Linked DNA regions of Arabidopsis thaliana. The protein of the gene in region 1 interacts with the protein of each later gene in a pairwise test. Each region holds a gene or a part of one and is shown on either strand. Other genes may lie near its edges.

Evidence for each region.
Region 2: the proteins of B73 (region 1) and LOG3 interact in a protein complementation assay, tested with the Arabidopsis thaliana proteins (one study listed by BioGRID).

What each region holds. Positions count from the first base shown.
Region 1 is NC_003076.8:7,127,970-7,135,793, forward strand, and holds B73 (molybdopterin biosynthesis CNX1 protein / molybdenum cofactor biosynthesis enzyme CNX1 (CNX1)), read right to left. Parts: upstream 5,544-7,824; 5' UTR 5,429-5,543; coding exon 5,231-5,428; intron 5,203-5,230; exon of another isoform or gene 5,150-5,202; coding exon 5,023-5,149; intron 4,828-5,022; coding exon 4,697-4,827; exon of another isoform or gene 4,190-4,696; coding exon 4,088-4,189; intron 4,005-4,087; coding exon 3,921-4,004; intron 3,806-3,920; coding exon 3,578-3,805; intron 3,379-3,577; coding exon 3,188-3,378; intron 3,092-3,187; coding exon 2,987-3,091; intron 2,861-2,986; coding exon 2,567-2,860; intron 1,738-2,566; coding exon 1,580-1,737; intron 1,497-1,579; coding exon 1,390-1,496; intron 1,136-1,389; coding exon 1,079-1,135; intron 999-1,078; coding exon 768-998; 3' UTR 506-767; downstream 1-505. Other genes in the region: MS3 (methionine synthase 3), read right to left, coding at 245-384; AT5G20995 (uncharacterized protein), read left to right, coding at 6,347-6,390, 6,483-6,607, 6,721-6,810, 6,886-6,977. UniProt on the Arabidopsis thaliana protein: Catalyzes two steps in the biosynthesis of the molybdenum cofactor. In the first step, molybdopterin is adenylated. Subsequently, molybdate is inserted into adenylated molybdopterin and AMP is released.
Region 2 is NC_003071.7:15,623,407-15,629,069, reverse strand, and holds LOG3 (lysine decarboxylase family protein), read left to right. Parts: upstream 1-2,131; 5' UTR 2,132-2,235; coding exon 2,236-2,358; intron 2,359-2,670; coding exon 2,671-2,768; intron 2,769-2,925; coding exon 2,926-2,956; intron 2,957-3,438; coding exon 3,439-3,538; intron 3,539-3,796; coding exon 3,797-3,868; intron 3,869-4,361; coding exon 4,362-4,432; intron 4,433-4,515; coding exon 4,516-4,659; intron 4,660-4,736; coding exon 4,737-4,817; 3' UTR 4,818-5,079; downstream 5,080-5,663. UniProt on the Arabidopsis thaliana protein: Cytokinin-activating enzyme working in the direct activation pathway. Phosphoribohydrolase that converts inactive cytokinin nucleotides to the biologically active free-base forms.

The DNA.
Region 1 (7,824 bases):
AGGATTAGTGGAAAATTCATGAATCTAACAAATAATACAACACAGCATCAATACATTTTTCGAATGCTTATGCAAATTGCAAATGGAGGATGAAAAACAACCTATGGTACAAAATCGATACTGCAAACAAACAAGAGAAACCATAACAGGATTAGGTTGAATAGTGAAACCATAACGAAAGTAAATAGAGTTGCAAATACACCAACAAGAGAGATAGAATCATCCGAGGGAAATAGAAGAAAACCTGGCGACGTAGAATCGGGGGCGGCGAGAGGCGGTTGCGCAAGGGAGGGACGGAGTAGCTGAAGACGGTGGCGGGAGAGAAGGAGGGCGTCTTGGAAGCGAAGCTAACGGCTGGAGTCTCTGAAGAGCGAGCTGACCCATTTTTATAGCTTTGGTTTCAAACTGAGCTCCTATTTCTGTTCACTATCCGGGGAAAGAGGAGACTCTCTACTATTTCATTTCGTTTCCCAGGTTTTAATTAAGGTAAACCAAACCGAAAATTCGTAAACCAAACCGAAAATGAATGTTTAATCAAATTGTTGATATTTTCTGTTATTTGGCTTATGCAAAGTATTTTTCTCATCAAGGGATATGCATATTATTACAAAAAAGTAGAACCTTATTACAAAAACTACATTTCGCACCATATATAGTATTTGGGTTTCGTGTAACTAACTCAGCAAACACAAAACTTGTCAAAAGTTTTACAGTCACAACAGTGCAGAGCAAAATCACTTGGGGCTTTGTGGAGAAGCTGGAGAGTTTTAGTGAGTACAAGAACATCCAGCCTCTTCTTTCTTCTCTCCCGTCTCATAGGCTGACTTATAGCTTTGGTCCCATGTATCAGTCGGTAGGGTGGCTTCTGCGTGAGGTATGTGCTTCGGATGTTTCTCTCTCTTGTCTCCTTTGATCTGCTTCAGTGCGTGTTTCAATGCAGGTAACAGAGCCTCCATACACTCGGCCACTGCGTTTGGGTTTCCAGGCATGTTGATTATCTGGGGAAACCAAAAACATGGAAACGTGAGTGATGATGGCAACTTAGATATTATACTAATGTGAAGTTAGAGATTTGTACCAATGTTGAGCCTCTAATTCCTGCCGCAGAGCGCGAGAGCATCGCAAATGGAGTGATCTGTCACAGAGAAAAAAGGACACGGAATCAGATGACTGCTCACCACCATTCTTTTCCATTATGAAGAAAAGCAACAATGTTCAATCCAGGTCTGGTTATTCAGTTTTAGAAAATAGTGACCTAATTTGGTTTCAGGATTTTGCATATTAGAGAAAGAAGAACTATTCTGACTGTATTGAAGCTCAATTTTTTGAATTGGATGGGTTTGGTTTATAAGATTAAATATCAGTAGAGTTAAGAGGTAAGTAATAAACCTTTAAGCTCTCTTGCATCATAACAAAGAGGAGACCGGGTGTTTCTCTCTCGATCACCTTTTTCGTTGCTTCAGGTGTTACATCTCTTGGAGTGAAGCCAGTACCACCTAATTCCAAGATGTTAACTATATCAAAAATATGCTTCAAATACAACAACAAATCAACAATAAGTAACTAAATGTTTGTATACCAAGTGTAAGAATGAGATCCATTTCGTCAACATCGCTCCATTTCTGAAGAATGTCTTTTATTCTTTCCACTTCATCGGGGACAACAGCTGTTGCAACTACCTTAGCTCCCCCCAGTTTTTCAGACGAGGAATCAACTACTGACACAGCTCTGGGCCCACTACACCAGCATAAGAAATTCAAACAAGAAATGATCATAAAACCAATGGATAAATAATTGATAAGACCAAAACTTTCACACAAATTTGAAGTGAATACAAACAAAAAACTATCTGGAGAGGGTTTGGGCATTTAACATGAAGAATGGCATGGAGATGAGATTTTGCTTAAAGATGTAGCAAAGCACTGTGATGCTTTCCTGTCTCACTATGACAGGGAGCAATATAACTGTGCAGTTTTACTATGGCATCGAATTTGTGACCTCACCAGAATAACGAACTGGAGAGGTGTATCTAGATGCACTCTTTTTAATCGACCAAAATGAAGTAAGTCTTGTAAGAAGTTTCGGTTCCAGAGTTTTCACTCACTGAATTTAACTCGGGATGAGGAGATATCAACTCTACATTATTAATATTTGCATCCATTTTGCCACATTATAAGAAAATCGAGAAGGTGAATCTAGACGTTTTTTTACTATAAATTCATGTTCTAGCTCATTCCTCATCAAATAGTCAGTCAGTAACAGGTCTTCTAAACAGACAGAAAACTTTTTACCCACAAGCATAAACTTAATATACCCATCAACTAGCCACTTCCGCAATTATCAGAAGCTAAGACATATGTGACAAATATGTTTAAGACCATCAAAACCAATGTATTCCAGGACAAAGAAAAACTCAGTGTTGCCATTTCCGAATCATCTTCTTACAGTGGTTATGCAGTCTTAAGGTTGTAAAGATGCAAAGTGTGTATATCTTCAACATTCTTACATAACTCAATTCATCCAGATTTGCAACGGGACAATCAATAAAGTTTAACAGTAATCATACCTTCGATCAGGTCCAGCCCCAGCTGAGACAGTATCACTGACGGTAAGAATAGCCACTTTATACTCAGGCCCAGGTACTTCATCGTACTTCTTTTCTTTCCGAATAGAGCCTGGTTCTGATAATGAGGCTTTCTTGTCTATTGAAAAGGCACTAATATCAGAAACAATTATAGCTGATACAGAACTTCCAGCAGAAAGCACATTTCCCGTAGCAGGCAACTCCAACAAAGCATTAGCCGACCTCATACTTAAAAGCCTACTGCTCATCTGATGTCCAGTGCTCTCAGCAACAAATCTGACAAACAGGTATATCTTATTAGCCCATTTAAGATAGTAATGCATACTAGAACTTCCAAGAAAATCTAGGAAGATCCAGCTAAGTTTTTGACTCACAAGAAGACATAATTATGAACAGGCTCACCCGGGAGTCCCTGATCCATCGTTGTCTTTCCATTTGATTATGGCCCGATGAAACTCGGGGCGGATGGGATCAGACTTGATGGGCTCCTGAAGTCGAAGTCGCACTCTGAGCAGAGATTAGACTGTAATCTACCCTTTTCTCGACGATCATTTTAGAATGAATTCATATAGAGAAACAAGTATAATGAAAAACTTCAGTTACCTCAGTGGATGGGGGCTTGTCCATCCTGCAAGCTGGCGGATTGTAGGCACAACAAAGATATTGAAACAAACCAAACAGCTCACAGGATTTCCAGGTAATCCAAATGCAAGGACTGTTTTCCCCAGCATACTTTCAGTTGGTTTTGCTCTAATCTCGGCGAAGGTCAAAGGTTTCCCGGGTTTCATCAATACCTGCAAAAAAACTAAAATATGAAAACTTCTCGGTTCATTCTATATAGCAAACTAAACATAGTCAACTTACTGAGCTTAGTTGAGAAACTAAACAGTAGAGTCCCGTAAAAAGAATTTTCAGAAAACATAGTAGCCAACTCTTCCGCTTTAAAGCAGAGAAAGAAAAAGTGCAGGGAGAAAACTTCTACTGCTTATTTACCTTGCTGAAATATACTTTCCCTTTCTCTTCGAGTAATGGCTTGACGAAATCCCTGTCTCCCATTGAAACACCACCAGAAGTTAAAATAATATCAACTCCAGAGGATACGGCCTCGTCCAAAACCTTCTCAAGTTCTTTTCTATCATCTCTAACAATTCCAAGGTCAACAACTTTGCATTGCTGCTGCATCACTGCTGCCACTAACATTGCTCGATTTGAGTCCCTAATCTGCAGAGAGCTCATTATTAAGCCTCTAAAGATATTATAAGGTTCAATACCTATTTGCAATTATTACACAGGTATAACTTTCATATGCATCAGGAATCTTAGTTCTACATAATACCTGCCCACGACCTAAAGTCCCAGCTGTCGGCTCCACAAGTTCATCTCCAGTAGAGAGAATAGCAACTATTGGCATAGGATATACCTACAGGAAAGTTTTTTTTCAACACTTTTTTTGGACTTATCTTCTAGTAACTCTGCTAAAATAAAAATGATATACAGCAATACCTTCACCATGGTTACTCCTGCGGTTGCTAGCAAGCCGATTTCTGAGGCACCAATTCTTTCTCCAGTTGTTAGTACAGTTGCATCTTTCTCAATATCACAACCCTAGCATATAAATTGTCAAACAATAATGAACATATGACGATTGTATCTCCTCCAAACAGCTGAAAAAGCTGCTTTTCATCACCTACTTAGATTTGATGGTTAATACGAGAGAAACATGCTTTATCTATCCCCAGGTCTTCTAGCGGTGACCTCATGCATGCTTATTCTTAGTCCCACAAGAGTCTTTTCTCTAAGAAACATTGCAAACACAAACCTAGATAATAACAAAAAACAGGATGCTGTCCGACAATTCAAGTACATATCCAAAACTAGCCCACCATCTTCCATTTGTTCCAATAACTTACCCATCAAACGACACAGTAATTCAATTTATTTAACAAATCGGTTAGGCATACTCCTAAAAAAATGGTCTTAGATCAACAAATGGCGTTACATATAAAAGAAAAGTACGAGATTTCAACTATTTAGCAAACAGTAAGAGATATAAGAAATCAAAGATATCAAGTACAACACTGGTTACATAAACGAGAAAAGAAGAAAGCATACCACTCTACGGATATCGGTGCCTTTCTTGGTTTGAATCAGTATTTTTACTCTTTTTGATTCAGTTGAGACGTCTCCAATTACTTTAGTGTCCTCAACTTGGACAACTGCGTCCGCACCATCAGGTATAGGTCCTAAAGGAGAAACATACCAAAGAAAACAATAGGTTGAAATCAAAGAAACATATACGTTCAGACACTTCTCCATGCATATACACTACCAAATGGAAAAATAGTAAGTAGTGAACAAGAACAGAAAATTAGAAGCACTTTCATATACTCTAAAATGCAGGCACAAAGTTTTCAAGTCATCAAATGCAATATACTCACCACCAGTTGTCACATAAGCCACAGTTCCAGGAGTAACAGTCACACCCAAACCATCATTCCCAGCTCTTGATTCAGTAATCACCGGATATTCTCCAGGACCATCTGAAGCAACAACTGCGTACCCATCCTAAACAACGATAATGTCAAGTTATTAATCAAATATTCGCTGTTGTAATCATCACCAGATTAAATTGATCCTATTAGTAACCTTGACGGAAGCAGGATATGGAGGTAAAGGATCAGGAGCTCGAATATCTTCCGCCAACACTTTCCCAAGTGCTTCATACAGCGATACGATTACCGGAGGCAGACGCTTAGAGACGCCGAATACTATTCTCAGAGCTTCCTCCGTCGGTATCATCTCCGTCTTTCCGCCGCCGCCGCCACAACAACCTTGACCTTCCATTTATTTCCGTCGCTGATTGATAGAGAGAGACGATGGCCTTGTTTAGCAATCGGATTAGATATGACCCTATTAGATTGTCAATGGTCAATTAACTTCGACGTCCACCAGCGACAAGCGTTGACGAACAAAAACATTCAAAAATAATTTTAATAATAAAAATATAATTTTACTTGTTATTGTATAATCAGAAATAATTATATATCTACTATAAATATATTTTACATATATATTTAATACATTGATTCTTATAATAATTAGCTTTTCAATTTCAAAACTAAACTAAAAATATAAAAAAAATGATTTAAAACTTTTAGATATAAAAATTTAAAATTAAAACCAGAAAATTTTTATTAGCAACAATTAAGTAAGGGAACGGAATTTTTTTTTGTATTATCAATTAAAAAAATTAACTTTTTATTTTTATTAAAAAATAAATTATTACAATTATACTCAATACACATGACTATATGAATTTCATATGAAAGTAATATGAAAAAACTGAGTATATAACTTTTTAGTTTAAATTAAAAAGTTAATAATTTTAATTGATAATATAAGAAAAAAACTAACTATTGATTAAAAATATGTAACAATTAAAAAAATTAACTTCTTAAAAAAACTAACTATTAATATTAATGAATAGTTCATATCTTAAAAAATGTTTATTCTCTTAATTTAGTTTTGAAATTGAAAAAAACTAACTATATTGTAAGAATTAATTTATTAAATCTATATACAAAATATATTTATATTGGATATAAAATGTGTTTTATTTTCTTATACAGTATCAAATAAAAATAATGTTTTTAATATTAAAAGTTAGTTTTGAATATTTTGTTTGCTAACGCCGGAGTTAGTCGATCAGTTATTTATGATATATGTTTTAACCTGAGATTATATGTTTATGATATTGATGACATGATACCATATACTTCGTATATGTTGTCACGCAATCCATATACGTATGTAACTAGATGTCCTTTAGTTTACTTGGTATGTGTTGTCATATGTTCTGCTATATTTCGGTAGCTAATCACTAATCACTAATCTCAAGCTGCCTTATCTACATATACTCATCTTTGACATGTGTCAAACATTTATTTTTTCAGGACTTCTCGGGGAAGACAAGAGATTTTTCAAATGAAGATACAGATCCGTTGTCTAATGAGAAACTCATAGGTGATTAACATATGTTGGTTTATTACAACAGTATGCCTCACATTTTTTGTTCCCTCTAGATCCTAGTTGCTTCTTAATAGAATCCATGTTTTGCTTATTTTCTTGATCTTTAGATTTAGGTCTCGAAGAAAGAGAAGCTGCCACAGCTAATCTTAAGGGCATTAGACGTCTTGTGTTAAGTCCTGCCTCATTGATTTCCAAAGGTATACTGATCGTTTGTACGGCGTCGTTGTGGTTTTTTTTATACTGCACTCTCATTTTTCTATTGAATTGAGCAGGGATATATAGTACTCAGTCTTTCCAGATGGATGAAGAGGAAGGCTTTGGAAGGTCTCTTATTGTTATTGATATTACTAGTATAGTAGTATGACATTCATTTACTTTAAATCTTCGTTTTTGGCTTAAGCTGATTATCTTCCACATCTCAAGGCTGTTGCATTGTTCATTGTGTCTTTGCTGAAATTTGAGAAGAAACTGAAATCTGCAGCTGAGAAGCAGTGCTCAGAAATTATAGCATCGGTCTACGGGGAGATACAACTAGAGTTGGAGAATGATAGGTCGGTATATACAGATAGATATGATTATCATGTACTGGTTTTTAATCAAATCACAAAGAAGATTAGAGTATAATCAACATCATTCCTTGGCTTATTCTTGCCTTCATCATAAGCCCATTCCCACATATTTTCCACACTCTTAAGTTGAAGTTCCAACATCATAACCTCTTGTTTCCACCCAACCTTAGCTCCACTGAAAGCCGTTTCCACTAGAACACAAGATGTCTTCATTGACTTTTCAGCTTGCTTAAGGTGTGTCTTGAGAAGATATAGCCTAGCTCTGTTCTCAAGAATCAGGAACTAGAACATACTTCCTAGTAGCAATTCACTATACTCGATAAAACCCACAAACTCATTTTCATCAATGGGGTTAACTTGACAAATTGCAACATCACTAACACAGTCATCAGCCTTACCAACTATATATTTCTCCATAGACTTGTCAATAGCTAGAACTCCACGAGTATGGACTGTTCCATGAAGGGTATGAAAACATGACTTGAAAACATAATAGGGAGCCAAACTTGAAGTTTTTACTATCATGTTTACGCTATCTCCGGCGACAACATATGGTCGCTCACGATTTTGGTCACTCGGGATGGTGTTTTTCTGAACCATCTGCAGTTGAGTAGCCGCATTTGGAAATAAATAAATATGAGA
Region 2 (5,663 bases), on another chromosome or scaffold:
TTAACTTATTCATTCTATATACAATAGAGAAATAAATGTGTATATATATCTATTGGTGTACCCATAACATTTCTATGGTTCCATTAAGTTTTACTAGTGGGTTCTTCTTGTCCTGGTTATTTTTTATTTTGTTTGCATGAGTATCAGTAAATAACGTTTGTAACCCATCTTACACTGTCCAGATATATTGTAAATGAATTATTTGTCCTATTCTTGATAAAGGGAATAAAAGTGAGGGAACTTTATCACTGATCAATCAATTTTAAAAAACTAAAATGGTTATTTTGTTTCATTGAGAGCTCTCTATAAGAAAAATAGCAAGAGGGCTTTATTATATAAAGCATAAAATAAATTTCTGCATTACATTATTACTAGCATATTAGAGTTGTAATTTGTAAATATACACGAGCCTATTACAATTTTCCTGTCTTGTTCTTATTCATTTGGACATATTTTTAGAAACAACTTAAAACTGATTGCTGGTGAAATTGATGAGCATGTGATGTGATCGATAAAAAAAACAACTAGATGAGTGACTTGCGTCTATTATTTTACCAATCCTAGCTTCGACTATTAACCTATAAACGAAAATATCATGTTCTGATTAATTATATATGTAACTACGGTTTACAAACGAATATACGGACAACAAAAACATTTTTATACTTATCATATATCTAGAATTTGATGGAAATATAGGTTTTTGTTTCAAAGTAATTGTGAATAATCAAATATACGATCTTATATATACACACCCTATAATGAATCTTCACCGCGCATAGGTCATATATAAAGTTTACACAACATTTCTATATCACATTACCGAAATCATTCATGAATTAAGTTCGTTTATCTACATGTATAAGATTTTACACGCAAATTGTATCGTTTCTTAGAACATTAATTAATCATAACAGTCTGCATGCGAATGTTTCTCTCATCTGCAGAGCCAATCAATAAAACTTCAACATTCAAATTAGAAGATTCACAAAGTCATCATGATCCCTCGATAATGAACTTCAGCTGATGTGCATCGATAATGTACTAATATCGAGAGCGAGCATGTCTCTTGTTAATGAGTTTTTCAACAAGCCTACTATGAATATAACTTATGTGCCAAAATCTAAGTAACCATATGATCCACACGTACTATAAACCGAATGGATTTGTCCCAAGTGTTTTTTTTTTGGTTTTAATGTGAAGAATTTGTCCCTAGTTTATGTTTGCACCACTCACTATAGACGACTTCGTTATTATTTCTATCTAATCCTCAAATGTAAACGTCAAACAATCCTCAAATGTCATTTTCTCTTAACGATCGTAGCACTAAATAATCATCCGTCAGGACCGTCACAACTTTTTAAATACGGATTCTTTTTTTCTTCGTCAAAAGTAGTCGATGTTCGTGAGTTCAAAGTATCTCCTGTCAACAGTACATGAGCTTGCCATAACTAAAGTTTTTTTTCCAACCAAAACAAAGGTTTTTGGTAGTACGTAGCTAGTAGCTACTGTTTTGAAACAAAAATAATAGAAGGAGAAAATTAACACAAAGGAAGAATTTGGTTACGCGTGCCAAGATGAGCTGTATTTGTGTGGTTGGGGAAAGACCCGCGTGCTTAAATCTCTCACGTGTGAAGACCTCAACGAAGCAACAAAAAATAAATTGAAAAATGATTAATTAATAAACAAAAGAAAAAAAATAAAGAATACCAAATATATATTTTTTAAAATACAAAAATTTCTTTTTTCCCCCAAAAAAACAAGTACTTCTTTAAATATTTAAGAATATTTCATAACTCAGTTATAGAAAAAAAAATCGAAAATTAAGCAACTTAGAAGTGTTTTAGTCCAAAAAAATATATTTTCCCAAGCATGCCTTGACCAAATATTTAGGAAAACATTTTCTCTTTCTAAACTTTACTAATCGTTATTTTTTCTTAATAAATGTCGCACTTTTGAAAAATACTAAATAAAAAGTAAAGTAATTTATTTAAATAGAAACTAATCGATGACGAGCATGACGTGAAGACGCACTATATAACAACCATCCCTGAGCCAAAGCATTAGTGGTAACAAGATAAACTATAACAACAACGAAAAAAAAAAAAAAAAGTTTTCAGATATCGATTAGGTTTGTTTGACACTCGTAAAACTGTCTTAAGAAATTAGATTCTTGTGCTCAAAGAAACCTTAAACTGCTTACCTTTTCTCTTTCCGCCCAAAATTTAGAATCACATGGAAATCAAAGGTGAATCGATGCAAAAGTCAAAGTTCAGAAGAATCTGTGTCTTCTGTGGAAGCAGCCAAGGCAAGAAGAGCAGTTACCAAGATGCTGCTGTTGACCTCGGCAACGAACTGGTAACACGTTCATGACTTTCTACGTATTATCTTGTCTTTCATTCTGCTGGTGGTTTTTGAGATAAGATGATGTTGTGCTTCTCTGTTTCATTATGGTCTGCAAAAGTGTAATTTTCTTAAAGGTTTTTGATAAACATGTTCACATGATGTGTAGCTTTTGCAAATGCAGAGCATTTTTTCTTTCTTCTTTGAAACGTGCCAAGTGATATGGGTTTGAATGTGTGCTTCATGTAGAACTCAAAGCTTCAACTGTTTTTTTACCAAATCTAGGCTTCATGTGTAACTCTGTTTTATCTTGATTTTGTTATGCAGGTTTCAAGGAATATTGATCTAGTCTATGGAGGTGGGAGCATAGGATTGATGGGTTTGGTTTCACAAGCTGTTCATGATGGTGGTCGTCATGTTATTGGGTAACTTTCTCTCTTTAATATCTTCTCTTAAAACAACTTTGTGAATCTTTTTTAAGATTATACAGAAGAAAACTGTATTTTGAGTTTCTGATGGAACACAATTGTCATAAGAACTTCTAATAAACCTCATTTTTGTCATCTTGTTGTCACTCTACAGAATCATTCCCAAGACCCTCATGCCTAGAGAGGTAAAACATTTCAAGATTTCCCTATTTTTAATACTAAAACACTATTGTTTGTTTATTAATATGTATCTGTAGGTTCTCCAAATCCCCATTCAAAACACATTTAGTCTCCAGTCTTTGCTTCAGTTTTACTCTTCTCTCTATTTATTACCCTTTCTTAAGTCTAATGATTATGAGTCTGCCTCCTCTTCTTTTCAATTAGGTAACCTAAAATAAAAATATCTTCTTTGTTTATGTTATTTTAAACAAAAGGTATGTGAAAAAATGATGAAAAGAGGTGAACTAGATTAGGGTTCTGTAAAAAAAAAAATGGAATATGTAAGATATTCAAAAAAAGCCAATATTACGATTACTTGCAATGCCATCATTGCTTTTGCCTGTAGAAGAGTCCAAACCTGCTTTTTCTCTCTTTAACTACTTTTCATTATTACTTCCTTTTATATAAGTTTTTAAAAAAAATTGGTGGATGTGCTCTTTGTTTGCAGTTGACTGGTGAAACAGTAGGAGAAGTAAGAGCAGTTGCAGATATGCACCAAAGGAAAGCTGAGATGGCTAAGCACTCTGATGCTTTTATTGCCTTACCAGGTTGTGTTTTTAAACCCCATCCACCCAAAATTATCATCATTTTTTCACATTACTTTAAACCTAAAACTTTTCTTTCAAACCAAGTAATGATGATAAGGAAAAACTGGTCAAAACTCTAGTTACACATGAGTCTCAAGAACACCAGTTTAGGCATTTGTTAGCCTTTTAAATGAATTTTATGGGAAATCAAAAGTTTAAAAGAGGAATATTTGTTCATGAAAATATTAAAAAAGTTTGACTGATTTTGCCAAAAGAGAGAAGAAAACAATTTGGTTAAACTAAAAAACATGTTGTCTTGGTCAAGCTGTAGTGTGAAAGCTACACTGAAAAGTTTTTTTTGGTATGAAATTTTTAAAAAAATTATGAAAAGTCCCTACAGTCTAAGATAAAGGACCTTGACCCATCAACATCTGGCACTTAAAATTAGACATTTTTTTTTTGCTCTTCTCTTTACTCTGTTTATTGCTCTGCTTTTAACTTAGGAGGTACTATCCATATAGCTTGTGTAGTCTTACTGTGACCAAAGTTTTCTCCTTACCTATTTCAAGGTAAGAGACAAAACCTGAAACAGTCCCACAAATAGCATATTTTTGCCCACACTGAATCTGAAATCATTATGGAAAGTCAAGTTCTTTCAAAGATCTTGCTTTTCTAATCATATTCATCCCATTGTACAAACTTGTAACAGAGAAGAGAAGACTCTATTATTTGGTTTGTCTTGTACATAACAAACTTGTTGACTTGACCATATCATAGTTACTAATTTATCTCCTCTCTTTTTTTTTCAACTATCAAATCTAAAAGTTTTGTATGAAAATTGTAGGTGGTTATGGAACACTTGAAGAATTGCTTGAAGTCATAACTTGGGCTCAGCTTGGTATACATGACAAGCCGGTAAACAAATAAACCCTTCTATCACATTTTAATCAAAAAGTTTCAACTTTAATAACAACATATCATGCATCATTTTTCTGTAGGTGGGTTTGCTCAATGTTGATGGATACTACAACTCTCTGCTCTCATTCATTGACAAAGCAGTCGAAGAAGGATTTATTAGCCCGACTGCTCGTGAGATCATCGTCTCCGCACCTACTGCTAAAGAGCTGGTGAAAAAGCTAGAGGTAAATTAAACTTATAATGAAGATGGATCATTAATGTTTCTTCATAATCTCATAAATTGTTGTTGTTGTCTTTGTAGGAATATGCACCTTGCCATGAAAGGGTTGCAACGAAGCTTTGTTGGGAGATGGAACGGATTGGTTACTCCTCTGAAGAGTGATTCAGATCAAGATTATCTATATAACTATTTAAAATATTTTATAATATAGATTTGAAACTTTCGGAGATTTCATGATTTAATCTTACTAAAAAAGGAAGGGATAGATTTTGATTAGTTGGGTAAAATTTCCACTTCGGAGGAGATTTTTAATGTAAATTATTAGTAATGTCTTTTTAAGTCGAAGCTAAATGTTTTTAGTTTATGTAATTGTCGCAACTCTCTACTATTGTAAGTTGTAACCAAGACAAGTTTCACACTTTCGTATCTATCTCTCTTCACATTAAAATCAATACAGACGAAAAAAGAAAGATATATATTATCTGTATAAGATTATGTATTGTCAATACTCAATGCCAGAGACTGTCTCTTAACAACAACAACAACAGAAAAAACAAACGAAAACAACAAAAAAATCTAAAAAAGCTTCATAAAAAATGAAATCTAAAAAAGCAACCAGCTTTTCTTGAAATGGAAAAATATCTTTTGCCATTTCAAGAAAAGCTGGTTGCTTTTTTAGATTTCATTTTTTAGCCATTTAATACTAACCTTTATTATAAACTGTCTAAAAAATATTCAAAAAAATAAAGGCGTATGTAGATAGATTCTAATTTGCATGAGAAATTAAGTAATACAGTGGTAAAATAAAAATAAAACGAAATAACGTAATTTAGTAAAATAACATGTTATCAAGCAAAATAATTTATATCATATAATACCATAATCCATAACTGCGTACTTTCTAAGAAAATAAAACTTTTATTTGTTACCACGAAAATTGTAAAATAAATTGTGAATATCTACCTAAAAAACTCAATCATTTACCTAATTTATGAAAAATGTAAAATT